Callithrix jacchus: one gene and its partners. The protein of the gene in region 5 purifies or fractionates together with the protein of the main gene of each other region. This does not show direct contact. Links are inferred from orthologs where the notes say so. Each region holds a gene or a part of one and is shown on either strand. Other genes may lie near its edges.

Region 1 (3,500 bases), on a different chromosome or scaffold from region 5:
CCATAAGGGTAGACAGTCTTCTCCTTCAGTTTAGAATATCCCCTATGACTCCCAGTACAGAAATATTTAATGGAAAGGGTAGTGGTGGTGACGACTTATGCCTAAATTATCAAAGTCCCCTATTCTCAAAGGTTAAAAAGAAATCATAGAAAGATGATAGATGACCCCCTTACTGTGCTTAAAAGAATAAAAACCAACCAGGGAACCCAGAGCCATCAGTCATGGGTGATAGATAAGAGTCGTCCTTACACTGAGGTGCTCCTGTTTCAAATAAACATCATTTGGCTCCAAAGAACAACTCCCCAGCATTAGCCAAGCCCCAGCACTGCCACTCACCGAGCTGTTCAAGCATTTTATCGCATTCATCCAAAATAAAGTGTTTAATGTGTTTGAGGTTGAGGCTCTTATTTCGAGCCAGGGCTAGGATACGGCCTGGAGTCCCCACGACGATATGCGGGCAGTTCTTCTTCAGCACCTCTTCATCCTTCTTGATAGACAGACCACCAAAAAACACAGCAACCTGCCAAGCCAAGAGCAAAGAGTCTCAAAAACAAGGAAGGAAAGAGTCCAATCCCCCCAGGGTTCCCACTCTCAGTTTGAGCTAAACCAATTTTTAGCATGTTTCAAAACTACAATAAACTTTTAGAGGTCACCTAATTTAAAAATTTTATGTCGCCCCACCAAACACTGAGGTTTATAACAAAAGTGATTGCCTCAAGTTACAGAACTACTCAGAACAGTCAGGACAAGAATTCAGTTCTTCTGACTTAATCTAACCATCTTCCTTCATTTATGAGGCCAGGCTTCATTTAAAAAATCAAGGAGCCAGGTATGGTGGCACATTCTTGTAATCCCAGCTACTTGGGAGGCTGAGGCACGAGAATCACTTGAACCTGGAGGCAGAGGTTGCAGTGAGCCACGATCTGTACTCCAGCATGGGTGACAAGAGGGATACACCATCTCAAAAAATAAAAATAAAAATAAGGCTGGGCTCGGTGGCTCACACCTGTAATCCTAGCATTTTGGGAGGCCAAGGCAGGTGGATCACTTCAAGCCAGGAGTTCAAGACCAGCCTGGCCAATACAGTGAAACCCCATCTCTACTAAAAATACAAAAATAACCCAGGAGATTGAGGCAGGAGAATTGCTTGAACCTGGGAGGCAGAAGTTGCAGTGAGTGGAGATCAAGCCACTGCACTCCAGCCTGGGCAACAGAGGGAGACTCCACCTCAAGGAATAAATAAAAAATAAATATAGGCCGGGTGCAGTGGCTAATGCCTGCAATCCCAACACTCTGGGAGGTCGAGGTGGGTGGATCACGAGGTCAGGAGTTCAAGATAAGCCTGACCAAGATGGTGAAACCCCATGTCTACTAAAAATACAAAAATTAGCCAGGCGCAGTGGCGGGCGCTACTCGGGAGGTTGAGGCAGCAAGAAACACTTGAACCCGAGAGGCAGAGGTTACAGTAAGCTCAGATCATGCTACTGCACTCCAGCCTGGGTAACAGAGCAAGACTCTTGTCTCAAATAGTAATATAGTAATAAATAAACAACAGCAAGAAATCACCAGATGAGTGTAAAGTACCACAAAAAACACACGAAACATCAAGTTATCCTAAATAAACCCAGAATCTCCACACAAACCCCATGAAATTATTGCTTGAGGTTAAATATTATCACTCCATGTTAAATCCATTAGGTGAATAGTTATTTAGGGATCTGGGCCTTGGTACGCTATCAAGTAACACCAGAAACTACTTTCTAGTTTCAAGGGGGAAAAGAAGAACCATGGAATCAAACTGTCATGACACTAATCCCACCGTAAATCTAAAATCTCTAACGAGGCCAGGCGTGATGGCTCACGCCTGTAATCCCAGCACTTTGGGAGACCAAGGTAGGTGGCTCACTTGAGGTCAGGAGTTTGAGATCCACCTGGCCAACATGGTGAAACCCTGTCGCTACTAAAAATACAAAAATTAGCTGGGCGTGATGGCACTATGTAGTCCCAACTACTCGGGAGGTTGAGGCAGGAGAATCACTTTAACCTGGGAGGCACAGGTTGCAGTGAGCTGAGATTGCACCACTGCACTCACAGCCTGAGAAACAGAGAACTCCACCTCGAAATAAAATAAAAATAAAATAAAAAAAGATAGATCAACCAGATTTGTGGCATAACAGGAGATACAGCATCACCTATGCAGCATTCTTGCCAAAAATGCTTAACTTAAATTTAAAAACAAAAAAAATTTTTTTTTTTTTGAGACCAAGTCTCAAGTCACCCAGGCTGGAGTGCAGTGGCACAATCTCAGCTCACTGCAACCTTTGCCTCCCAGTTCCCAGGGATTCTCCCACCTCAGCCTCCCAAGTAGGAGGGACTACAGGTGCATGTCACCACGCCAGGCTAATTTTTGCATTTTTCATACACAGGATTTCACCGTGTTGGCCAGACTGGTCTCGGACTCCTGACCTCAAGTGGTCCACCCACCTTGGCCTCCCAAAGTACTGAGATTACAGGAGTGAGCCACCATGCTTGGCCAGAATCCTCAAAATTCTCACCACTGGAGCTGTTTTTAAAGTTTCTAGCTTTCTCTGCCACACACCTCAAAATGATCAAACTGATAGGATTCAATTCAGTATGAAGTAGTAAGAAAAGGGTGGTCTTGAGCATCATCCATAGCCCACTTATGAAATGAATCCTCCTGTTATACAGGATCTTAACACTCTGTTAAACCAAGGCAAACTATAGTTTCTCCAAAATTAAGTTTCTCATCCCTCCAACTTGCCACATCCTCACTCTCAGGTCTCTTTACCTTGACTTACCTTGACATTGGGCATATATTTAGAAAAGCGCTCATATTCCTTGCTGATCTGAAAAGCCAACTCCCGAGTGTGACACATCACCAGCACAGACACCTTAGGCAGGAAGTAGATGGAGACATACAGTAAGTACAGCCCTTCATTATCTCCTCTAGGGAAGTGATTGTCACAAAAATATACCTGGCCAGTGATAAATGACTTTAATTCTGTGACCTAAATCATGAACTCTATGCTTGCAACAGAACATTCCCCACAGCTGTCAGGTTGTCAAGGCTAACAGCGGTTATGTGCTCATGGCTCTGCAAGCATCATGTAGCTAGGACAAAAACCCCTTTCCCTTATAATCCTAACCAAAATCCCTTCCCCAGCACTCTCCCCAAATGTACCTGCCCAGTAACTGGCTCCAGCTGTTGCAGTGTGGCCAAGACAAACACTGCTGTCTTTCCCATGCCCGACTTGGCCTGGCACAGGACATCCATTCCCAGAATGGCCTGAGGGATGCACTCATGCTGGACTAAAAGAAGGGGGGAGGAAAGATAAATTAGACTCCAGTCTCCAGATAACTCTACCACCTTTTTCATCATGCCAACCCCATTCCTTACCACTCAATTCTCAAAGTCTAGTATGTACTTGGTTCTTGACAACTTCCAGACTTTCTACCTCTCTCTGCTCCTTCAACCACAT
Region 2 (4,078 bases), on a different chromosome or scaffold from region 5:
CCAGGAGAAATTCCTCTGGAATCTTGAGGGCTGAAATGAAGGGTGGCACCCAGATCTCCAATCAGTGCATCTTCAGTCAACAAACATTCAACAGGACATTATGTGGTAGGCATATTGCCAGGCCGTGGAGATGCAAATATAAATAAGATCCAGCCCTTCATCTGTAGGCGCTCACAACCTAGTTAGGAAACAGCACAAAACCATTAAGTGCACAGTGGAGGTAGGCCCACTTGTCCTGGGAAAGGAGTGGAAGCTGGGGTTTGAAGAGGGACTACGTGTTAGAGGCACAGACTGGGTGCCTGTACACCCAATGGAACGAGAAGGGTGTAAATTAATCACATGCTGGGGTGTCAAAGGCAGTGATTTACAGTTTTGAGACTTTACCTCACCAGCAAAAGGGGCCAGTCTGTTAGTGGTGCAGACTGGAGGGGAGACACTGGAAGCTGCCCATTCAAGAGAAGAAAATGGAACTAGGGAGCAGAAGGCCTACGCAAGAGGGCGGGAAAGACAGAACTCGTGTCAAGTAGCTCTGGACTGAGCAATCCTTCCTGCTTTCTGGTGTGGGAGAGCTAGTGGATGATGGTGCCAATAACCTGGATGGGGAAAGTAAGCTCCCTCCTGGAATGCTCCATTCACAACCTCCATTTTCAGCAATATCCCATCTACTGATTCTTCCTGGTCAGGATACAAGTTTCCTGAAGCGGCCGCTCTGTTTCAGGCCTCGTCCGCCCAACAGCTCACTAGCCAGCCAGCAGTAGTACCAAGATGGCGGCCCCCTGAGGACTGGCTAGTCATGTGACCTCGGGTTTCCCAAGTTTGAAGCCCAGCAGTCCGTTCGGGGGCAAGGTTCGCCTGTCACAAAATGAATGTCAGCCCTTCGAATCTCGCGAGCCAATCGGCATGTAAGACTGGGCCACGGCGGTGAAGCGATCGGAAGATTGGTCCTTTCCAGTCGCCTAGCTAGGGCCAATCACGGAGCGTCCTATACTTCGCGGGCCCGCCCATAGGCCGGGGAGAAGTAGGAATGTCGTCACAGCGTGGCGGTATTGTTACCTAAGGACTCGATAGGAGGTGGGACGCGTGTTGATTGACAGGCAGATTTCCCCTACTGGGATTTGAGAATTTGGCGCAGTACCCCCGCCTTAGAGGTGGGGTCTTATTTGATTGCCAAGTAATATTCCCCAATGGAGTACTAGCTCATGGTGACTGGCAGGCAGCTTGACTAATGAGTCCTCGGCGTGGCCGGCGCAGCTCTCCAATCGCCGGGCGGCGGGCCCCAGTCTGAGCGGCGATGGCGGCGGCGGCGGCGGCGGCAGCAGCAGCGGGGGCTGCGGGCGGTCGGGGCTCCGGGCCGGGGCGGCGGCGCCATCTTGTGCCCGGGGCCGGTGGGGAGGCCGGGGAGGGGGCCCCGGGGGGCGCAGGGGACTACGGGAACGGCCTGGAGTCTGAGGAACTGGAGCCTGAGGAGCTGCTGCTGGAGCCCGAGCCGGAGCCCGAGCCTGAAGAGGAGCCGCCCCGGCCCCGCGCCCCCCCGGGAGCTCCGGGCCCTGGGCCTGGTTCGGGAGCCCCCGGCAGTCAAGAGGAGGAGGAGGAGCCGGGACTGGTCGAGGGTGACCCGGGGGACGGCGCCATTGAGGACCCGGTGAGGGAAGGAGGGCGAGCGATCAGGCCGGCGGCTGACTGGCCGGGTCACGGGAGGCCCAGAGCTCGGGCGAGCGGGAGGCAGGCGGGGGGTGGGGTTGGGCGGGGAATAACGTGGCTGGGGCCCAGTCGGGCCGGGATGGGTCCGCGATCACTACAAGGGGCCCGACTGGCTTGATTCGGGCGTCACGGGAGCCAAGTGTTGTTCTAGAGAGGGTAGCTTGCTTTTCTTTTCATCATGACCCTCGCGTGGGGCGAGGGAAATGGCCGAGCATGGCTGAGGCCGCGCTCCGGCCGAGACCAGGGCAGAGCCCCTGCGTTGGTTCTTCTTAAGCTCTTCTCCATACCCTTTCCACTTGTATTAGGAGCTGGAAGCTATCAAAGCTCGAGTCAGGGAGATGGAGGAAGAAGCTGAGAAGCTAAAGGAACTACAGAACGAGGTAGAGAAGCAGATGAATATGAGTCCACCTCCAGGCAATGGTGAGTAACTGGCGGTTGCACGCAGAGCCCGGGTTCTCGGGTTGGAAGGGTTGTAGGGAGGATGGGGAATGTGGGGTTAGATACTTGGCATCCTGGAGCTGGTTGTCTGAGCTATTATGACTGTGCCGCGGTCATAGTCCGTTGTGTGTTCCTCTGACCTTTGTGAGGCAGAACCTATATTTTGGTGGTGGTAGCCTTGTGCCTGCCTCCCTTTGTCCTTGTTATAATTGTGCTGTTCTTTGTTCTTGGTCTACCTCTATCCTTCTTTTTAGAGGTTGCCAGCTCGCATTTGACCTTCAAATCTAATAGTTTTTCCTCCAATCGGAGACGTTTCAGTTAGGATTCTAAGAGAAAACAAGCTGGAGGGGTTTCCCCTTTAATCTAGAAATGTAGAGTCTCAGCCCACTTAATTTTGTTCACTCTTAAAAGCATTTCAATGTAAACCATTCATTGGGGACTTGATTGGAGGTAGGAGAGATTCCTATACTGTTTTAAGTGTGTATTAATTTATTCTTTAAGTTTGTCGAATATTTAGCGAGTACCTGCTTTGGATTAGGCACAATCCTATTCTAGGTTATGGGTACAGCAGTAAACAGAATAGACCAAAATCTTTGCTTTCACTGAACTTATGGGATATTGTTGGTGGTGGAAATGCATATATTGGTCAAGTAGAAAACAAATGTATATATTTTTTTTTTAATGTTTTTCCTCATAGCTGGCCCAGTGATCATGTCCATTGAGGAGAAGATGGAGGCTGATGCCCGTTCCATCTATGTTGGCAATGTATGTAACTAGGGCTCTCTCTGATTGGGGTTGGGGGGCAAGTTATTTTGGGAAGTTATTTAATAGTCCTGAAAGGAACATCTCTGGGATACGTGGTGGTTTTGGGTGTGAACGGAGTGTGGGAAGGAGGTTGAAGGTAATGGAGTGATCAGTAAACAGCAGAGGCTCTGGGTTTGGAACGAAAAGGGCCTAGTTCCCCAGATTACCAGATTTCGTGTGCCTTGGTGTATGTAGATGGTGCAGATCAAAGGCTAGGCAGGGTGCCTGTTGAGACAGGAATTTGTCTGGTGCCTGTGAAATGTCTCTCCTCTCCTCAGGTGGACTATGGTGCAACAGCAGAAGAGCTGGAAGCTCACTTTCATGGCTGTGGTTCAGTCAACCGTGTTACCATACTCTGTGACAAATTTAGTGGCCATCCCAAAGGGTAAGTAGAGGAAAGTAAGTTGAGGTAATTTAAATTATGGTGTAAAAATAGATATATGAATATGTTTTATATTGAGCAGTAAGTGATTTGCTGTTAACACAGGTAATCTTTGTTATTGAAGATAATGGCATTAATGTTGATATGTATCAGGAGTTGCACCTAAATGTCTTCTGAGGCCAGACAGATAACAGAAATGAAGGCTAGATGTGGGTGGGATCACGAACTCTATAGAAGGGGAGTAGGAGGGGCAGCTTCTACTTGGCCTCTTATGGCCATATGGAAATTCAGACCCTGTGTGTCCTATTCTTAAAAATTTCAAAGAATAGCTGGAAATTTTAAAATTTAAATGATTTTGAATGATTTAAATTTTCCATTTAAAAGAATTTTGACAAAAAAATGTAACCACATTGTACCCCAAAATAAAGCATGCCTGTAAGTTGAATTTGACCTGTGAGGTATTTGTAACCTCAGAGAGATGCAATGACAATTCTTTTCAGGTTTGCATATATAGAGTTCTCAGACAAAGAGTCAGTGAGGACTTCCTTGGCCTTAGATGAGTCCCTATTTAGAGGAAGGCAGATCAAGGTAAGCCTCTGTCCATTGCTGTTCTGGTTCTGTATAAACTCTCCAGATTGACTTTAAGGCTTTCATTTATTCATCTCTGACTCAGGTGATCCCAAAACGAACCAACAGACCAGGCATCAGCACAACAGACCGGGGTTTTCCACGAGCCCGCTACCGCGCACGGAC
Region 3 (4,091 bases), on a different chromosome or scaffold from region 5:
ATTAGGAGTTCAAGAACTGGTCCATTATTGACAAAACTGATGAGACTTCAAAATGTTTTGTAGTTGGCATTAAACGTTTTTAAACAGAATACTTGTTACCACACAAAAACCCGAGATCTAAATACTGAGGAAATACACATTTCACAAATAAATGTGTAAACTCTCCTCCACCTTCAAGTACCATAAAATTTAAAAGATCAGAACAATCTTAATATTTGAGGCTTAAAAGCAATGTCCACAAAGCACCAAGATCTATGTATCAAAAATTTCCAAATACTTCGGTTAAAAAAAAAAATGAACAAACTTTTCACCTATTTACTCCTACCACAGTTTAATGCCAAAACAAAAAAAGATTAAGAAAATGACTCTCTTCAAAGTTTCACTTTCAAATACACTGTCCTTACAGAGTTCTACGAATTAGATTTTGGTGTGAAAAACGAGATTTGGAATAGAAGGGTTTCAATACAGTAATTTGCCATCCTTAGAACTAGCGGCTGTCTTCGAAATAACCTACCTATTCTTGAACTGTACGTAGTACAGAAATGGCGGCTTTGTGGTCAATGCCAAGCACATTTAGTCCCCCAAATCAAAACGCTTCCGAAACATTCTTTCCACTAACAGCAGCATCCCACACTTAAGATATACAAGCAAACAACCATAGTGGGAGAGGTGTAACCATGAACGCTCTTTTCTCGTTGGGCTTTTCAATCCTAAAATCCACTCACTGGACAGCATACACTAGGGATTAACCAGTTTATGGATGCTGTAACTCTACAAGTGACCCCCAATGCCAGTTCTTATCCAAAAACCAGAAAATTATAACCGTTGCTTAATCCAACTTCACACTAGGAAAAAAAAAAAGTCGCAACAAAGCAAAAGACTTCTCCTTAGGTGTGTGGGCAATCGCCTGCTTCATTCAGGAGAAACACACCTCACTAGGGCCCGCCCTCCCCTGGCTTCCCACCCGAACCGATCGGCTGCACTTCTAACTATAGCACAGGGGAGCACGCACTCACCCCGCCCATACTCGGAGGAGGCATTTAGACCAGGCGCCTTAAGTTCACCGCCCCTTTCTCTGAGCAGCATGGCCTCGGCGTGATCAGAGGAGGTCCGGGCTGAGCCAGTACCGAATGCTTCCTCTACTACACCACTTCCTCCCACCCACCCTAAACTCAGACATCGGAATGAAGGAGAATCAGGGCATCCTACACTGTACAAGGCCAGCAGCATATGGTTTAACCAACTTATCACACTCAAACCCCTGAAAAGAAACTGTAAGACGGAATCCCACGTGCAGGTCCCTGAAAAATTTATCTTTCCTACTTCACATGCCACTCCGCAAAAACCCGGAGAGCTTTCGAGTTTCCTTGCCGGAGGAACAGGGAGTCGGCAGCCCCTCCCTCCCCCATCCCAAGCTCTCCACCGAGGGGGCCACGTGATGCAGGCGGACGTTTCAATGCTGCTGCACTAAATATTTCTGGAAACTTCCACTCCTAATAATTTACAGAGATGTTCCTGAAATCACCCCAACTTCTCCCCAAGCCGTGGGGCTGAGGAAGCCCTTCCATTTCGCGAGGCGCCCCGCTTAACTATCACGCTCCTCGTCCTCCTCCGCCGCCACCCGCACACACGAATGACCCAGCAAGCGCTCCCCTCCCCGCCTCCATCCCCCAGCGGTAAAAGCGGCTCCATTCAATCGCAGGCTCCATCGTGGGCCCGGCGCGCCCCCGGCCCGCCCGCCGCCTCCCGGGCTCGCTTCCCGCGGCGACTACAGCCGCCGCGCCCCACGCCGGCCTCCTCCCGCCCGTCCGCGACGCCGCCCGACCCTCGGCCCCGAAGACACAGTCGACTTACCCAGAGATTTAACCAACTGCTCCTTCCTTCCTTGTTGGGGGATTAGGGCGAGGGAAGGTGGGGAGGGGGGAAAGGGGACGAATCAAGGTGGGTTTCACAGTTTTCCCACCTTAAAAAAGGAAATTTCAAAAACGGAGAGGAAAAGGGCAAAAAAAAAAAGCTCAATAATATTTACTATTTCAGGGACGCTTCCCCACAACACACACACCCACCCGCCCCCCCCCCAAAAACAAGGGGAATTAGGAGGAATAAACGCTCCCGCCTGGCTAGGAGTGAGGGAAGGGGGAGGGAACGGGGTCAAGTCCTGAAGATTCAGCCCAAGGGGGACCCTCCAGCCACAGGCAGCAACAGAAGTGGCAGGAGTAGGGGGTGTAGAGTCCACACGGCCGGGGGGACGCTCTGCTGCCAGCTGCAGTCCGACTCCCCCCCTACCAAAACACGGCTCCCTCTCTCACGCGGCTCCGGCGCTGGGCCCCCCCACAGGCTCGCCTAAACTTTCCCCCCTTCTCTTGCTCCTCAGCGACTGGTGGCTCCCCCTCCCCCTCTGGGTGGTTGCACGGACTGCAGCAGCAAAGACTGGAACAGGCACGGCCGCCGGGGCTGTAGCTACTGTTGCTCTTGCTGATGCTGTAGCTCCCGCTGCTCCTGCCGCGGCCGCTGCAGCCGCTTCTCCCCCTCCTTCTAGTGCCTCAAACTCGGAACCGGTTGAAACCGGTTCAGACTGGGAGATTCCATCTCGGTTGAGTTTTCAGCCCATGGCGCCGCGGAGCGTTTGGAACCTGGGCCTCCGCCCCCAGCCCGCCCTGCTATTGGTCAGTTCCAGCCACAGCCACGCCATGAGCCTATCTCTCGTTGGTCCGAGAGCCAGTCAATCCCACCTCAAGTCTCCACACGAGCCCGCCGCTCCGGCCCCCGCCTCTTTTCAGCAGCGATTTGCCCGCAGAATGGGGGAGGGGAAGTGGGACGGGTCGAAAAGCAAGAGGAGAGGGGTGGAGGAGGAGGAGGTGGGACGAAGAGTCTGGCTGAGTAGAAAAAGAGAGTGAAGAAAATCCGCGTGGAGGGTTGGTTAGAACGAGCTGTCAATCAAACACAGCCCGCCCTCGACTTCCCTTCCCCCTCCAGCCCTCCCCCTCCCAGTGTCTAGTTCGCAGGCCCGGCCTTTCCCGCCGGCTCATTGGCTGGGCGCCTTCGGTGACGGAGAGGGTGGGGCGCAGCTCGTGAGCGTGTGGCGGCGCGAGTTTGATCGCTGCGCGCGGTAGCGTTCGCTTTGCTTCCCCCGGACTCGGCTGGCCTATCCCTACCGGGTCCCGCCAACCTGCGGGGCCTGAGCCAGCGGGAATCAGGATCCGCCCCTCAGATGGGGGCTGCGTTCGGAAAAGGGAGGAGACACCCAGTTGTTTAGAACTCAAAGCGGGGTGGAGAAAGTAGCGAAAAGAACACTTCCTAGGTAGGCCCCAGACCTCTCATCCATTTTAGAGGCCTGGGTTCGGGGCCAGGTAGCTGAGAGAGAAAGGTTGGGGTGACGCGCAGAGTGTGCATTTTTGGCGCCTTGTGATGTTTTCAGGGTCTTGGAAAAGATATCGAAATACTTCTTGGGAAAGTCTTAAAATTTCAACTCTGTCTCCCCGGGCTGGAATTTGGCCGCTTCAACAACCTTTCCTGAAAACCAAAACACTGCAATTCCAAGTGTGGTTTAACAGTGCATGTTTTGGCTGGGTGAGCTTTCATGCCAACTGCTTCCCACCTGGTGCCCTTGATCTGCCACACTCAGATATTTCTTTTACCCTAGATGCCCTTCACGTACTAAATCACCAAATAGTATTTTCTGTGAAAGTCACATGCATGTGGCCTTTGACGTGGTTGCCTCTCTGATTTGTTCCCAAGTGTCCTCCAAATCAGCTTTACAGATTGTTGTACGCTTAAGAGCAAATAGCCTACCAAAATTTACTAGGCTCATTGTGCCACCAAGACGTGGATAAATGGTTTATTAAATTAATAAAATTTTCCTTAGCAAATGTTCACTTACGATGGACTATGGCTAACCAAAGCATTACTTATTCTAACTCCCCCTCCAATAAAGAAAACCCCAACAACTCAATTCTTAGGTGTACCAGAATGATTTGGGATGATTTTCAGACCTAAGTTTTTTTTTTTTTTTTTGAGAAGGAGTCTTGCTCGTCGCCCAGGCTAGAGTACAGTGGCGCCATCTCGAGCTCACTGCAACGTCCAACTCTCTG
Region 4 (4,101 bases), on a different chromosome or scaffold from region 5:
TTGAAGGCCTTCATGGGAGATCTAGGGCCACAGGCAATCAGAAATTTCTTGGATCCATCAACTAAGCGCCTAAGGTCCCAAAGCATTTAAGATACTAAATCCTTCTATGACACTAATCTAACTCAAAGACACCATTATCCACTTATCTCTACTAATTGGGAGTGAGGCGGCCCCAGCTTAAAGCTAGGAGGAGGTAGCATAGCAAGCCCATTTAATATACCATGCAGTGTACCAGACAATGCTTCAACAGCACCAAGAACCCAAGCTCTAAAAGGCTATTCTAGCTGTCACACCAAGTACTTGGATCACTGGATACCTACCACTACCACCGCCAAAGCCGCCTCCGCCTCCGTTGTTATAGCTGTCATAGCTGCCACTCCCGCCATAGCCACTGCCCTGGTTTCCATAACCCTGTCCACCACTTCCATAGCCTCTGCTTCCTCCAGAGTAACCAGGGCCGCCTCCTCCATAACCACCTACAAGAATACAATTCTTCTCAATAAGACAAAAGTATTTGACAATGAAAACTTGTGCAAGTGTAATGGCTGAAGGCCTGCTCACAGCATGCGTGTTATGGGAAAAGTTGAGCTTGTCATGCACTAGAATTTTAGTCTTGACTAACCTATTCTAAAGACACAGGTTGCCAGGAATTTTTATCTACTTATTCCTAAAAAACTTACCATCATTGCCAAATCCATTATAGCCATCCCCACTGCCACCATAACCACCACCACCACGGCTGCCACCAAAGCCACCTGGAAGAAAACAAAGTTTTAAGTTTTAAGCATGATCTGCATATCAAATGACATTCTGGATGCACTTCCTGTACTGTAAAACCTGCATAGCAAAGATGGTAAGAAGTCAGAACTACAGGTAAATAAGCCGTACATACCACGACCGCTGAAATTTCCTCCACGACCAAAGTTGTCATTCCCACCGAAACCTCCTCCACGACCACCACCAAAGTTTCCAGAACCACTTCGACCTAAAGAGATGAAGTTTAAACGTTAAATCATTCATACTGGAGTAACTGAAAGTTGCTTTTAAGGTTTAATGAAGCAATAAGCATACCTCTTTGGCTGGATGAAGCACTAGCCATCTCTTGCTTTGACAGGGCTTTCCTAACTTCACAGTTGTGGCCATTCACAGTATGGTATTTCTGAACTAAAAAAAAAAAAATGAAGACAGGTACAACATGGTCTCAGGGTTTAGAACGCCACATGGACTGCGGAACCCTTACTAAATACCACTATTTGATACTTACTGACAATCTTATCCACGGAGTCATGGTCGTCAAAGGTTACAAAGGCAAAGCCCCTTTTCTTGCCACTGCCTCTGTCCGTCATGATTTCAATCACTTCAATTTTTCCATACTGTTCAAAATAATCTCTTAGGTGATGTTCTTCAGTGTCTTCTTTAATGCCACCAACGAATATTTTTTTCACAGTTAAGTGGGCACCTGGTCTTTGAGAATCCTAATAGGAGGAAAACCACAGGTTTAGATTAGCCAAACCTACACCCAAATAAAAAAATTTTTAAGTACAAAACTCCTGAATCCAAATACACTAGCAGCACATCGCCAAAAGAATTGAAGGGTAAAAAAACCACTCACTTCTCTTGAGACAGCTCTCTTTGGTTCCACAACTCTTCCATCCACTTTGTGTGGCCTTGCATTCATGGCTGCATCCACCTCCTCCACAGTTGCATACGTGACGAACCCAAAGCCCCTGGAGCGCTTGGTGTTTGGATCTCTCATGACCTGAGAACAGTGTTAATTCATGTAACAAAGTCTGACCCCAAAAACTTTTGTAATTTTAACTTTGAACAAGGGAATAGGAAACTTTATACCAGCCCTGTACAAAAACCCCTCCAGTTTCCCACTATCCTAGGTTTAAGAGGTAACTCTATCAAACAAAGCAGGACTTTCCTTCGTCAACAAGGCTCTAGCTATAATACTACTAACAACCTTCCTAAGTATTCAGAGAGAACCGCCCCAAGATAAACCAAGGAAATCCACTATTTTACTGTTTGGTCCCTTCCAATTCTTACCACACAGTCTGTGAGCGTTCCCCATTGCTCAAAATGGCTCCTGAGGCTCTCATCGGTTGTTTCAAAGCTCAACCCTCCAATGAAGAGCTTCCTCAGCTGTTCCGGCTCTTTAGGAGACTACAGTGGGGGAGGCGGAAGTGTTAAATGAGCTGTAACACCAAACAATTTCCATCGAGGAAAATCAAAACTAGACAACTGTGTATGTAGCACTTATTGTTCGTTCAGATTGCAACAAGCCATGTGCTTCTCTCTAACAGGGGAGAAGGTATGTTGGGGGTTGGGAGTGCTGCGAAATCCAAAGCGCATGCGTCCCTAGTCGCCTTCCGACGCACGCGCAACAAAGGCTTAGGCGGGAGGGGTACATCGCCAAAATGGGACTAATCGCTCTTTTAAAAACTCGCTCACCAAAGCAAGGTTTAGAAAAGGAAAAGCCTTATGTGCGTAAGAATTTTTGCTAAGACTATAGAGTGCTGCATAATAACTCATGATTGGCGCGAGCGGCCTCATGGCGATCAACAGGACAAAATGGCGACTTGAACTTTGGGAGGGGTAGGCCGTGGCAGCAACCTAAAAAACTGTAGAATGGGCTGGTGAAAGGAACGAAACCAAGCCGCATCTTACCAATTCAGGAAAGGAAGAGGAAGAAATTCAAGTTGGAAAGAGCGCCTAACTCACCTCTGACTTAGACATGATCGCGGGGAGAAGAGAGACTTTAACGATGCTGCTTCGGCGGCGTCCACGGGCAGAAAGGAGCAAACTGACGAACGTATCTGCCAGCCTACCTTCGGCCTTTCTTTTTTACCCCGCCTCCTCCCTTTCAGCATTGGTACACTCCGCCCTTGAACAGTTCTGATTGGATGTGTGAAATCTCTTCCCCCTACTATTGGCCTGTGGTGCCACACTGCTGTGTAACGTCATTCCTTTGGGCGGTCTACGCCCTCTCCACCCCTTGGAGTTCATTGGTTCCCGAGTAATATTATTCTTAACCAGTCTGATTGGCCAGCCGATAAATCATTCATATTTGAATATACCTTGGGTGTTTAACGCCTTTTTAATCTTCCCCGCACAAATATTACGCTTGGCAAAGCATGATTAACACTATGTGTCAGAAAAGCAGTTAGCCAGCAGGTCAAAATTTTGACTGCTTGTTGAGCGCACGTGTAGTAAAATGGCGAGTTTTGCGCAGGCGCATTAAGAACTTCCAGCAGCCTCTGGGAACACGTGAAATGGCGGGCAGTACTAGGCAGTGACCCTACGGCGCCTGCGTATTGGCGGGAGTTGGTTCCAGCTTTGCGCATGCGTGGTGGGCGGAGAAAGGGTCCGTTCCCGGATTGGTTGCGCAGGCGCAGGGAAGGATCCGTTTTGGCGGGCGGTTGGCGTTGCGCAGAAGGTGGTGGCGGTGGTGGCTTGCGTTGCGGCCTCACCATACAGCAACAGGGCAGACGTTAGCGTGAGTGATCACTCTCAATCCCGGGTAAGTGGCAGACAGTCTTCTCTACCCATCGTAGGTCTCGAACTGACTCTATTTGGGCCCGTTATTGTGTGAAATGAATGGACCGCGGGGTGGGGGATAGTGAAAGGGCAGCGGTGGGTCGGGCCAACCAATAGAAGAACAGGGGGCGGGATGTTTTAATCCCTGTAGGTTCTTTGGAGCGGTGCAGCTGAAGACTTTGACTGGCTTGCGTATACGCCAATTGGGTCTGCCTTGAGCTGCCGACTGATGGGCCCTTGGGGCCATCGGAATGTGGGAGACGGGTTTCCCCTCCTGAGCTGCGTCTCACTGAGCCAGTAAGCGCGAAGCGCGCGGTAGGTTGGGCTTCTCCAGGAGGCAGCGGTTTGACTCCAATGGGGAATGCGGGAGTCGGGCGGTTAAACTGATGGACCGAATCTGGAGCCAGTAGACGGACAGCCTAAGGAAAGTGCTCGGACCAGTCGTCCAATCGACTCCAGAAGAGGGAGGTCTTCGATTTGGGGTTGTGAGGAAGGGGAGTCGGTGAATGTAATGGCGTGTGAGGGTGAATGTTTTATCCACAGTGACTTCTCTAAGGAAGC
Region 5 (3,500 bases):
GCTAGTGGCTACTGGGTTGGACAGCACATTTCTGAAACAGTGTGGCATGAGAGAAAGTCTCTGGAGTCTGACAGACCTGGGTCAGAACCTAGCTCAGTCATTAGCTATGCAACCTACTAGCTATGTTACTCAACTTCCCTGTGTCTCACTTTATACATCTACAAAATGGGATGACATCATTTAACTTACAGTATTTTAGGTCTGTGAGTGTTTATATCCATATATGTATACATGTGTGTCTATGTGGAGACTAGTACTCAAACTTGCTAAAGGTTTCTGTGAGGCATCAAACCCAGCTTTTATTTTTTCACCTTCTACTTTGATAAATATGCATAACAATAGAAAATACTGTCATAAAGAACAGTAGTAACATCTTAAGTCACAGAACGCAGCCAGCTCACCGCTTCCCTCCAAGATGGCTAAAATACTAAACTTAATACTATGAGAAGCATTCTGTTAACTTGGGATTGACCATCCCATTCCTCCTCATAGTATGGGGAAAGTATAAGTATCTATAGTCTTCTCCCTCTTCCCCCAGAGACTTCTACAAAAATACAAGCATTCTCTTCCCTTCTGCTACTTCCCTTGTACAAACACAAGGCTGACCCAGAGATGGCGAATGAAGGAAAGTAGTTTGTGGCTTCCTGAACTGGTCATTATGCAGGGTAAAAGCACACAAGACACTACCTGCTCCCTCCTCCTCCTCTGCTTCTGCAAACAGCTCTGCATAATTTGGGCTCAGAAAAAATGAAATACCATCAAGATAATGAACTCTGAATCCTCTCCAGAGTTTCTGGTATATTTTCTTTAACTATTTACGAGTTGACACAAACTTACCCGTTTGTGTTGCCTTGCAAGTTTCTCTTTAGCTTCTTCTAGCTCTTTCTGGATCTTCAAGACATGTTTGTTCATCTTACGAATTGTAGAGTGCAAGATTTCCCAAACAAATAATCTTAAAGAAATATGACATTTGATGATTGTATGTCAAGCTATCATTACGAAAATAAAACCTTTCAACTTTTATAATCTATTCATTCTTAACAGCTGATACAGCCTTCTGTCCTTTGGGCTGAATTAGTCCTATTTCTCCAGCAATACTTATGAATTGTCTTTTATTGCAAATTGTGCAAGTATCTATCGTCACACACGTTAGATTCAGGTGAGTCCCCCGAGGGCAGTATTGTGTAGTCATTTTTCTTATGTCCATCCCTTACAAGAGGTATATACTCACTGAATTGAAATGGCAAACTATAATGAACACTAACATTAAAAATGGAAATAATTTTTCCTCTTCTAAATGTAAACAATAAGTATAGAAATTTTCTCAAAATGGTGACCTAAGGTGAGACTCATTTCACATGCTTTATACTATTTAACTAGCATACACTCAGCCAATTATTCTCTTGGAACATTTAAAACTCATTAGTTGATAACAGATATCAACTGATGGGCTCTAAGAATGAGATCATCAAATGTCAGCTTTCTAACTAGCAAATACATACTAAGATCACTTTGTAGGTGCTTTCAAATGTTTGTTGTATAAGCGTTTCTTCTGTTTTCCTTTTATTTTTATTTTTTAAGTAGCTTCTTAGCTACTTTTGTATCTATCAATAGGTCTCCTAACTCAGCACAGAATAGTACAGTTGGCCCTTGAACAACACAGGTTTGAACTGTGCAGGTCCATTTTCACATGGGTTTTCTTCTACCTAAAACAACAAGACCAGCTCCTCCTCTCCCTCAGCCTATTCAATGTGAAGATAATGAAGAATAAGATCTTTCTGATGATCCACTCTCACTTCATGAATAATAAATGTTTCCTCTTATGATTTGCTTAGTAATTTTCTTTTCTCTAGCTTATTTTACTGTAAGAATATAGTATATAACACACAACACAAAATATGTGTTAATCAACTATGTTATCAGTAAGGCTTCTGGTCAATAGTATGCTATTAGTTAAATTTTCTGTGTAGTCAAAAGTTCCATGCAGATTTTTGACTGTGTGGGAGTGGGGTGGCTGGGGGTCAAGTTGGTGTCTCTAACTCCTGATATTGTTCAAGAGTCAACTGTACTTACTTCTACAAATTTTGACCCAAATAATAGTTTAAGTGGAAAATAATAAAGCAATCTGTTCATAAAACTCCAAGTCTAGAATGTTAGGAAATAGGACAAAAGAACACAGCGTGTTAACTCTGAGGGCGTGGAGAGTAGTCAGGGAAAGGTTTGTAGGGTTACAAATATTTGAGCTAGGTGTTAAAGAACAGATGGAGCTGTTGAGCATTATACAGATTCCAGAATGCCTGGGTTTGAATGCTGGCTCTGCACTTAGCTGTGTGACTTCAGGCAGGCTAAAGCACTCTGTGACACTTCCCTATTCTGTAAAATGTGGACAATAATGGAACCTCCTCTATGGTGATGTGGTAAGGTTAAAATAAACTGAAACTGTAAATCACTCAGGACAATGGTTAAAACATACTAGGTGGTTAGTTTAGTGAGAATTTACAAATATGAAAAGGTCCTTCTGTTGTCATTTGTGAAAGCCAACATGGCTGGTATGACAACCTTAGATCACACCCAATCACCCTAGCAATTCAGTATATTTCAGACCAGTGTCCTCTGGCAGTAATAGATACAGTGGAAAAGTTAAAGGCTGTGATTGATTTTTGTTTTCAGAACTAATTTGCTTTTCTTTCCTGCTTTGTGTGAACTCCTGCTGTCCTGGTCCTATCAACTGGAAAGTCCGTGGAACTTCACAAATAAGAATCAAATAGCAAAAACTTTCTTTCCTTAGGGGGAATGAGTGCAGAATGAATCTTCTGCATTGAACCTAAGATTATGACTGTGGTGAGAACCCCTTTTCCCCATCCTTCAGGCATCTTGGTACTCGCCAAGCTTTCCTGGATCCCTCCATGATTTGTATTTAACCTACTTTCACTTTGGTTTCTCCTAGTTCCTGGTGTGCATTCTAGATGCCATCGCCACTGAAGCTGGAACCCTTCCCAAGTCCCATCTGGACTGAGACTTTGCACATAGTTGGCTCTTGCTAGTTTTCTCTCCCAACAGTCTGGATCCTTCAACAGCATTTCTCCTTCACTGGCTTAGTCTTGATTCAACTTACGATTGTGTCCTCTAAGAGATGCTGCAACCCAACAGGCTGTGTATGTTTCTACTGCCTAGGAATTTTTGCCATGTCCAGTCCTACAAGACTGGACCATTAGTATATTAATATCAAACTAGTTTGAACCAGAATTTGAAGCTAATGTATGAGAGACCACACGTATATTAATTCTTAGAGAACACAAGTTTCATAAAGTAATTCATATTACCTGGTAAAGTCACGAGATAGTTCTGAAGAGAAGATCCAATTTGCTACTGCAGCACAATCAACTATTTGTGTACGAATCATCTTATCCACTAGCACAGCAATCATCTACAAAGAGAGAAGAATTATACAAGTAACACACACATACATGGCAAGACTGCTGCTATAAAAGTAAATAGAA
Region 6 (4,086 bases), about 80 Mb from region 5:
TATTTTCTGTGGAGACGTGGTTTCAACATGTTGGCAAGGCTGGTCTCAAACTCTTGACCTCATGATCTGCCCGCCTCGAACTCCCAAAGTGCTGGGATTACAGGCGTGAGCCACCGCGCCCGGCCAAAGCAGCTCTTTATTAGTGTAATTTATCCAAATTTCCCTCCATCATTCCTTCCACGCCCCCGGTGGGGAGTGGGAGTGCTACACGGGAGAGTCTGCGGCCCAGGGCTTCACTGCTGCCTGAGGGCTAAGATTATGTGTGGTGGTAGAAAAAGAAGAATTGGGGGCATGGAAACGCAGGAACTGCCAGAGTGAAGGTTGCAGAACCTGGCTTGGGAGGATGATGAAGAAACTGGGCGACACTAAAGTGTCGTTGTTGAGCTGGCGTTCAACAAGTATTTATTGAGTATCTACAACGCGCTAGGCATTGTTTTGACACTAGAGATTCAGCAGCAATTCAACGAAAGTACCTGCTCTCATTGAGCTGAATGCCCCGTGCGGGCAGCCAGGTAACGCACATAAACACTTGCACTTATATCTCATAGATACTTACGTACATGTCAGGTAGAAATAAGTGCTATTTATAAAACTGAAGCAGAGCATGGGAACAGTGAATGAAGGTGGCTGCTATTTGAGGAGACCCCCACAAAACAGCGAGACAGTGAAGCACCAGCGGTTGTTCTTTTTCTGATTTTCTAGCTACAGGCAGCGAGATGCGCTCCCAGGAAACCCCGCCCTCTTCCTCCTGATAGGGCACAAAGTGCCAGGATACCTCCTACCTCTTCCCCGCCTAGAGGCGGACTTGGGTCGTTGGGGGGGACTTCGCGCCCAGCAATATGAGCGCGCCGCGCAAACAGCCGCGCGCAGCGATCCCGGCATGCTCCTCGTCCTCCCTAGGCAAGTAGAATTGCTCCGGGCGGATCGTGGCATGCTGGGAACTGTAGTTGACGACCGCCAACCCGCACCTGAGGGGCGGTAAAAGCCGCGAAGTCCCGTTCCATTTCTGGCACAGGACTTGCGGCACCGTGAGGTTGTGGAGAGCTCTTGCAGGGAAGGAGGGCAGGGTCATCCCGAAAACGCCCAAACCGGTCGCCGCCCCCAGTCACGTGTCGCCAGCCTCCGCGGGCGCGCGCCACTCTTAGAACCGTTCCCGCCCCACCCGGCCCGGCTATCGGTCCGCGCCTCCCCCGGCGCTACTGCCACCTCGCGCTCGGAGGCGTCACGGAACGTGCTCTCCTCTTCCCCCCCACCTCCTTTCCCTCCAGCTCTCCCCCTCTTCCCCCGCCCGCGCCGAGACTCGTCGCCGCCGCCGCAGCCTCAGGAGTAGCCGCCGCCGGAGCCGCGCGCAGCCATGGCCGAGAACCCTAGCTTGGAGAACCACCGCATCAAGAGCTTCAAGAACAAGGGCCGCGATGTGGAAGTGAGTGTGCTTCCGCGATCTGGGGCCGCCTGGCCGCTCCGCTGGGCGACGCGAGGAGGGGCGGAGGGCCGGCGCCGGGCTGGTTCTCGCCAGCTTGTGGTCGGCCGGAGTTGGCCGCCGCCTCCCGTCACCGTGGCCCCGGGCTGGGCGGAGCGGGCGGCGGGACGCGGGCGGGGCTGCAGCCACCCTCCAGAGCTGCCGGCCCGGCGACCGGGAAATGCCGGGGTTTTCGGCCCTGTCACGCGGGCGCGGCCTGATGTCGGCGAGGAGGGGATGAGGAGCTGAGGCGGGGTCCGCGGGCGGTGGCCGCGCGGACGAACGGGGATGCTGCCGCCCCGGGCCGACGACCGCACAGTCGAGGGGCGGTTGCTGCTGGCGCCCGCCAGTGCAACCTTCCGCCCGGTGCAGCCCCCTCGGTGCCTCCCGCGCATGGAGCCTCGGCTCTGCCGGTCCCGGCTCCTACCTTCTGGGAGCCGGGCCTTGGCGGGCGGTGGCGGCCCGCAGAGGGGGGTGGGGACCAGCCGGGTAACTGACTTGTTTGAGGGTGATGGATGGGGGAGGGTAGGATGCGCCAGGACTATTTTCTTATATTCCAGTGCTGTTCTTTGGTCTAGTCGTGCCGAGCTGTTCCAGCTCATACTCCTGCAACTGCTGGTATTTGGAGCGAGCTGAAGGTGGACAATAGTTTGCCATCTATTGTGTTCAGGCGTTGGAAAAGAGGTTGTTCCGACCTCCGCTCACAGGACTTATTTTCTTAGCCTTTCTTGGAGTAGGGTGTGCATAGGGTGATAATTTCTTTGACACATTTTACTGAAATAAATTGGATACATAGGTTCATAAGTCCTCTCACATACCTCTTGCTACAAGCTAGTAGAATTTCCAAGTGGTTGCAAAACTAAGCGTTCATCGCGGTCACTCAGTTCGTTGCTACTCAGCATGTTGCCATTGTCTCATTAAGGTGACATTAGCAGGTACTATTTGCAAACTCGGCTTATTGAGGCAGCGCTAGAGGTCTCTCTGCAGCTGCTGAAAGCAATGAGTACATGCACAAACTTCACTGGGCCTGTGACCTTTGGATTTGTTAGGGGGAAAATGGTTTAAGGCTACAGCCTTCTTTTCTAATACTGGGTGACATGATATGCAGTTTTGTAGTTTTTGCTAAGAGGCTAGTGTGATTAAGAGGTGAGTATTTTATCCTGTCCTAAGGAAGGTGGTGGGTTGTATATACCATTCAGCGTTCTATTTTGTAGAGAAACAAACTCAGGCTGTTTTTCAGAGCTACAAAATTAAATACTAGTAGAAAAAACCTGGGGAGATATCCGTGGAATTCCCATTTGAATGAGTCAAATAAAGATCATGTATTCTTTCCTGGTCATGGTTAAATACTCCTTGTGAGAGAGAAATCTAAGCAAAAGTGAAACTTAGGAATAGGAACAAGAAATTTTGGAACTGCCTCCTGTCCTGATGATAAGTGTTAATTTTGAACTTTTCCCATTCTTGAGGTCTACCTCGTTTCAAATAAAAGTTTATTGAAAAATACTCATATTGTTTGTACTTTAAAACCAATAACATTTTTTCTGCTCTTGGATATTGGTACAGGTTTTTGTTTCATTGTTTACCTCTATTACGCTGTTCTGGTAATTCAGTGATACTTAGTAAGGACTCCTGCACATACTAGGTACACAACAAATATTTGCTGATGATAACAAGTAACCAGTAACTTTTAGATGCATGAAAAAGAGCATGGTTGCTAAGCCATTCAGCCTGGTATTGGTCACAACACTACATTTCTTGGGATTCTATAGGGTAACTTAAGACATGAAATAGACATGCGAATGGTAGTTCTATTGTGGCAGATGCTGTGTTAAGAGTTTCAGGATACCTTGTTTAATCTGTGCAACAAGTGTATGAGTTAGGAGTGGCGTTATCCCTACTTTACATGAGGAAAGTATTTTTTGAGACAGAGTCTTCTTCAGTTACTTAGGTTGGAGTACTCAGGCACTCATTAGCTCAGCTGCAAGCTTAAACTTCTAGGCTCAAGGAATCTTCCCACTGTGGCCTCCCAAGTAGCTGGGACTACAGGTGGACAGCACCACACCTGGCTAATTTTTAATTTTTTGTAGAGATGGGGTCTTTGTTGCCCAAGCTTGTCTTGAACTCTTGGGCTCCAGTGATTCCCCCACTTCAGCCTCCCAAAGTGTTGGGACTGCAGATGCTGAGCTATCACACCCAGATGGAACTTTAGATGCAAAACCTCAGTGTGCTTATGTAGCCTGTGCAAGTCACTCAGTGGATATGGGCATTATTTATTCACTAATTGTCTATTCAGTATCTATCAATGTTAGGTCTTTGGGATAAGGGATAAGATGCAGTCTGTACCTCAAGGAGTTTTCATTCAGTGGGGGTGTTAATTACAATGCAGTACAATTGTTACAGTGTAGCATTTCGAAAATACATGAGAGAAAAGTACTTGTAGCTGAGCAAACAGGGAAGATACTCTGGTGGACTTCTAATAGATGGGAGTGAGCTGATTCTGAAGGATGAAAGAAAGGTGGCCAGGCAAAGGGCAGGAGAAGTGCGGTGGAAGAAAAGGGCATTCCAGACTAGAGGGAACAGTAATTGAAAAGTCCTGAGAGAAATGGAGAGAGAGACTAAAGGGTAAA
Region 7 (3,500 bases), on a different chromosome or scaffold from region 5:
CTAATGGGGAGACGCCCCAGGTTGCTGTCATTGTCCGGCCAGGTAAGTAAGAGGGTGGGACGGAGCTTTTATGTGGAAAAGGAATGTTGACAGTTTAAATGCTGGGGTGGTTGAGTGTCTTGAACTGGGTACCAGAGAAGAATGACTTAGATTTCAGGTTGTGGAATTTTGAGGGTGAATTGGATTTTGGATGAAAATGGAAGTATAGCTTAGGTGGGAAAAGATGATGGGGGGGGTGTCAAGTTGGGAATGCCTTGGCTGGGAGGTTGGGAACAGCCGCAGTGAAGGACTTGCCTGTAGTCACTCATTCTTCTTTCCCGTGGTGCAGATGACCGGTCACAGGGAGCAATCATTGCTGACCGGCCAGGGCTGCCTGGCCCAGAGCACAGCCCTTCAGAATCCCAGCCTTCATCACCTTCTCCGACCCCATCGCCATCCCCAATCTTGGAACCGGGGTCTGAGCCTAATCTCGCAGTCCTCTCTCTTCCTGGGGACACTGTGACAACGGGGATGATACAAATGTCTGTAGAGGAATCAGCCCCCATCTCCCGTGAAACTGGGGAGCCATACTGCCTCTCTCCAGAACCCACTCCTCTCGCCGAACCCATACTGGAAGTAGAAGTGACACTTAGCAAACCAGTTCCAGAATCTGAGTTCTCTTCCAGTCCTCTCCAGGCTTCCAACCCTCTGGCATCTCACACAGTGGAAAGTCATGAGCCTAATGGCATGGTCCCATCTGAAGATCTGGAACCAGAGGTGGAGTTAAGCCCAGAGCTTGCTCCTCCCCCAGCCTGCCCCTCCGAATCCCCTGTGCCCATCGCTCCAACTGTCCAACCTGAGGAACTGCTCAACGGAGCCCCCTCGCCACCAGCTGTGGACTTAAGCCCAGTCAGTGAGCCAGAGGAGCAGGCCAAGGAAGTCACAGCATCAGTGACTCCACCCACTGTCCTCTCTGCCACTCCTGCTATGGCTCCTTCAGCTACTTCCCCAGCTCCGGAGGAGGAAATGGAGGAAGAAGAAGAGGAGGAGGAAGGAGAAGCAGGAGAAGTTGAGAGTGAGAAGGGAGGAGAGGAACTGCTTCCCCAAGAGAGTACCCCTGTCCCAGCCAACTTGTCCCAGAATTTGGAGGCAGCAGCAGCCACCCAAGGTAAGGTGTGGTTGGTCAGGAGAGGTAGGCTGGCTAGGGGACATGGTTCCTCGCCCTCCTTGATGACCTTCCATTTTTGCTGTGCGTTTGGGTTATAGGAGGCCTGCAGTGGAATCTAAGAATTGGATTCAGGACTTTCACACCTAAAGAGGGTGATGGAAGCGGGTGTTGTGCTTTGGTTGCTTTTTATTTCCCAGGGATTAAGGATGCTCCTTAAAACCTTGGCATAGACCTGTGCTTTTATTTATTTTTTTAAATTAGTGGCAGTATCTGTGCCAAAGAGGAGACGGAAAATTAAGGAGCTAAATAAGAAGGAGGCTGTGGGAGACCTTCTGGATGCCTTCAAGGAGGTAAGGGAGCAGAAGGTGGGAGGGGAGAACACTGAGTTGAGGTGTGGAACAGCGGTCATTCTGCAGCCTAAACTGGATGTTCTGTTCTAGGCAAACCCGGCAGTACCAGAGGTGGAAAATCAGCCTCCCGCAGGCAGCAATCCAGGCCCGGAGTCTGAGGGCAGCAGTGTGCCCCAACGTCCCGAGGAAGCAGATGAGACCTGGGACTCAAAGGAAGACAAAATTCATAATGCTGAGAACATCCAGCCTGGCGAACAGAAGTATGAATATAAATCAGGTATGCTGAAGAAAGGCTTGAGAATGGTGAGTTTTCTTACTGGGAGGCAGTATGATGCTTCATTCTGTCTTCTTTGCAGATCAGTGGAAGCCCCTAAACCTGGAGGAGAAAAAACGTTACGACCGTGAGTTCCTGCTTGGTTTTCAGTTCATCTTTGCCAGTATGCAGAAGCCAGAGGGTCTGCCCCATATCAGTGATGTGGTGCTGGACAAGGTTGGTGGCTTGAGTCGGGGAGGGGAGGGTAAGTTTGCGCTGGATGGACTGGGGAGGAGCCTGCTTCTGAGACCTTTTCCTGTCTTCTCGCAGGCCAATAAAACACCACTGCGGCCACTGGATCCTGCTAGACTGCAAGGCATAAACTGCGGTCCAGACTTCACTCCATCCTTTGCCAACCTTGGCCGGCCAGCCCTTAGCACCCGTGGGCCCCCAAGGGGTGGGCCAGGTGGGGAGCTGCCCCGAGGGCCGGTGAGTGGGGCTGGGTAAAGGGGCAGGTGGGCAAGGAGTGGGGGTGGATGACTCCCTTGTGTTCAGTGCTGGCGGGGAGAGGTTGGCCCTGGAGGTGTGTAGTAGTGGTGTCACATGTTGCACTGACTAGTTCCATGTCCCTCTTACCTTCATTCCTTGCTTAGCAGGCTGGCCTGGGACCCCGGCGCTCTCAGCAGGGCCCCCGAAAGGAACCACGCAAGATCATTGCCACAGTGTTAATGACTGAAGATATAAAACTAAACAAAGCAGAGAAAGCCTGGAAACCCAGCAGTAAGCGGACGGCAGCTGATAAGGATCGAGGGGAAGAGGATGCTGACGGCAGCAAAACCCAGGTACTGGCGAGGCCTGCTTTCCATCTCCCTCCGTTTTTCTTCAGGTCTGCCATCTGTGTCCTCTTTGCTTCTCTTTATCACCAGCATCTGTCATGCCTAAGTCCCTGCTATCCTCTGTGGTTCGACCCAACGGGCTATGCTGAGGCCATCACTGGGACTCGTGTCTCTTCTCCCTCCAGGACCTATTCCGCAGGGTGCGCTCCATCCTAAATAAGCTGACACCCCAGATGTTCCAGCAGCTGATGAAGCAAGTGACGCAGCTGGCCATCGACACCGAGGAACGCCTCAAAGGGGTCATTGACCTCATTTTTGAGAAGGCCATTTCTGAGCCCAACTTCTCTGTGGCCTATGCCAACATGTGCCGCTGCCTCATGGCGGTTAGTGTCCACTGGGTTCGAAGTCTCGTGGTCTAGTTGCTCATTTCTCTTCCCTTGAGTCCAGCTTCTTGGTTCCCTCCAACTTGGGCCCCTCCAGCTGGAAGGAGGCAGAGCTGGGGCCAGGGATCTTCCAGGGTCAGGTAGTTAAAGACTATTGGGGGGCCTTCCCTGCCCTGGACTGCTCTGAGTGTGACATTTTCTCTCACCTACAGCTGAAAGTGCCCACTACAGAAAAGCCAACAGTGACTGTGAACTTCCGAAAGCTGTTGTTGAATCGATGTCAGAAGGAGTTTGAGAAAGACAAAGATGATGATGAGGTTTTTGAGAAGAAGCAAAAAGAGATGGATGAAGCTGCTACGGTGAGAGAAAACCCGCTGCCGGTTCCACTCTGCTCGCCTTCCCCCAGCCAGAGCTGCTCAGCTGCGGAGTTTGGAATGGAGATAGTGGTGTCTTGGGAGTTGCTCTGTCAGGACCTTTTTTTCCTTTGTTTTTGTGACAGAGTCATGCTCTGTCACCCATGCTGGAGTACAG

What was found.
Region 1: the proteins of NCBP1 (region 5) and DDX39B purify together in Homo sapiens (affinity purification with mass spectrometry; 6 studies listed by BioGRID and IntAct, with this or other methods). This does not show direct contact. The link is inferred for Callithrix jacchus from reciprocal best matches to the Homo sapiens genes NCBP1 and DDX39B.
Region 2: the proteins of NCBP1 (region 5) and PABPN1 purify together in Homo sapiens (co-immunoprecipitation; 3 studies listed by BioGRID and IntAct, with this or other methods). This does not show direct contact. The link is inferred for Callithrix jacchus from reciprocal best matches to the Homo sapiens genes NCBP1 and PABPN1.
Region 3: the proteins of NCBP1 (region 5) and XPO1 purify together in Homo sapiens (affinity purification with western blotting; 3 studies listed by BioGRID and IntAct, with this or other methods). This does not show direct contact. The link is inferred for Callithrix jacchus from reciprocal best matches to the Homo sapiens genes NCBP1 and XPO1.
Region 4: the proteins of NCBP1 (region 5) and HNRNPA1 purify together in Homo sapiens (affinity purification with western blotting; 4 studies listed by BioGRID and IntAct, with this or other methods). This does not show direct contact. The link is inferred for Callithrix jacchus from reciprocal best matches to the Homo sapiens genes NCBP1 and HNRNPA1.
Region 6: the proteins of NCBP1 (region 5) and KPNA3 purify together in Homo sapiens (co-immunoprecipitation; 3 studies listed by BioGRID and IntAct, with this or other methods). This does not show direct contact. The link is inferred for Callithrix jacchus from reciprocal best matches to the Homo sapiens genes NCBP1 and KPNA3.
Region 7: the proteins of NCBP1 (region 5) and EIF4G1 purify together in Homo sapiens (affinity purification with western blotting; 3 studies listed by BioGRID and IntAct, with this or other methods). This does not show direct contact. The link is inferred for Callithrix jacchus from reciprocal best matches to the Homo sapiens genes NCBP1 and EIF4G1.

The regions. Positions count from the first base shown.
Region 1 is NC_133505.1:39,022,683-39,026,182, forward strand, and holds part of DDX39B (spliceosome RNA helicase DDX39B), read right to left. Parts: intron 3,331-3,500; coding exon 3,203-3,330; intron 2,913-3,202; coding exon 2,820-2,912; intron 521-2,819; coding exon 337-520; intron 287-336; exon of another isoform or gene 211-286; intron 1-210. UniProt on the Homo sapiens protein: Involved in nuclear export of spliced and unspliced mRNA. Component of the TREX complex which is thought to couple mRNA transcription, processing and nuclear export, and specifically associates with spliced mRNA and not with unspliced pre-mRNA.
Region 2 is NC_133509.1:57,663,513-57,667,590, forward strand, and holds the start of PABPN1 (polyadenylate-binding protein 2), read left to right. Parts: upstream 1-1,278; 5' UTR 1,279-1,291; coding exon 1,292-1,642; intron 1,643-2,006; coding exon 2,007-2,121; intron 2,122-2,836; coding exon 2,837-2,904; intron 2,905-3,221; coding exon 3,222-3,328; intron 3,329-3,825; coding exon 3,826-3,913; intron 3,914-3,998; coding exon 3,999-4,078. Other genes in the region: BCL2L2 (bcl-2-like protein 2), read left to right, coding at 719-799.
Region 3 is NC_133515.1:52,585,026-52,589,116, reverse strand, and holds the start of XPO1 (exportin-1), read right to left. Parts: upstream 2,801-4,091; 5' UTR 2,733-2,800; intron 2,538-2,732; exon of another isoform or gene 1,855-2,537; intron 1-1,854. UniProt on the Homo sapiens protein: Mediates the nuclear export of cellular proteins (cargos) bearing a leucine-rich nuclear export signal (NES) and of RNAs.
Region 4 is NC_133510.1:65,268,001-65,272,101, forward strand, and holds the start of HNRNPA1 (heterogeneous nuclear ribonucleoprotein A1), read right to left. Parts: upstream 2,801-4,101; 5' UTR 2,740-2,800; coding exon 2,725-2,739; intron 2,167-2,724; coding exon 2,050-2,166; intron 1,760-2,049; coding exon 1,613-1,759; intron 1,476-1,612; coding exon 1,265-1,475; intron 1,165-1,264; coding exon 1,072-1,164; intron 986-1,071; coding exon 893-985; intron 756-892; coding exon 681-755; intron 477-680; coding exon 321-476; intron 1-320. UniProt on the Homo sapiens protein: Involved in the packaging of pre-mRNA into hnRNP particles, transport of poly(A) mRNA from the nucleus to the cytoplasm and modulation of splice site selection.
Region 5 is NC_133502.1:145,793,220-145,796,719, reverse strand, and holds part of NCBP1 (nuclear cap-binding protein subunit 1), read right to left. Parts: intron 3,428-3,500; coding exon 3,324-3,427; intron 953-3,323; coding exon 838-952; intron 1-837. UniProt on the Homo sapiens protein: Component of the cap-binding complex (CBC), which binds cotranscriptionally to the 5'-cap of pre-mRNAs and is involved in various processes such as pre-mRNA splicing, translation regulation, nonsense-mediated mRNA decay, RNA-mediated gene silencing (RNAi) by microRNAs (miRNAs) and mRNA export.
Region 6 is NC_133502.1:66,189,156-66,193,241, forward strand, and holds the start of KPNA3 (importin subunit alpha-4), read left to right. Parts: upstream 1-1,286; 5' UTR 1,287-1,354; coding exon 1,355-1,423; intron 1,424-4,086. UniProt on the Homo sapiens protein: Functions in nuclear protein import as an adapter protein for nuclear receptor KPNB1. Binds specifically and directly to substrates containing either a simple or bipartite NLS motif.
Region 7 is NC_133516.1:13,299,283-13,302,782, forward strand, and holds part of EIF4G1 (eukaryotic translation initiation factor 4 gamma 1), read left to right. Parts: coding exon 1-42; intron 43-328; coding exon 329-1,147; intron 1,148-1,408; coding exon 1,409-1,497; intron 1,498-1,587; coding exon 1,588-1,774; intron 1,775-1,853; coding exon 1,854-1,987; intron 1,988-2,080; coding exon 2,081-2,239; intron 2,240-2,403; coding exon 2,404-2,592; intron 2,593-2,771; coding exon 2,772-2,969; intron 2,970-3,181; coding exon 3,182-3,328; intron 3,329-3,500.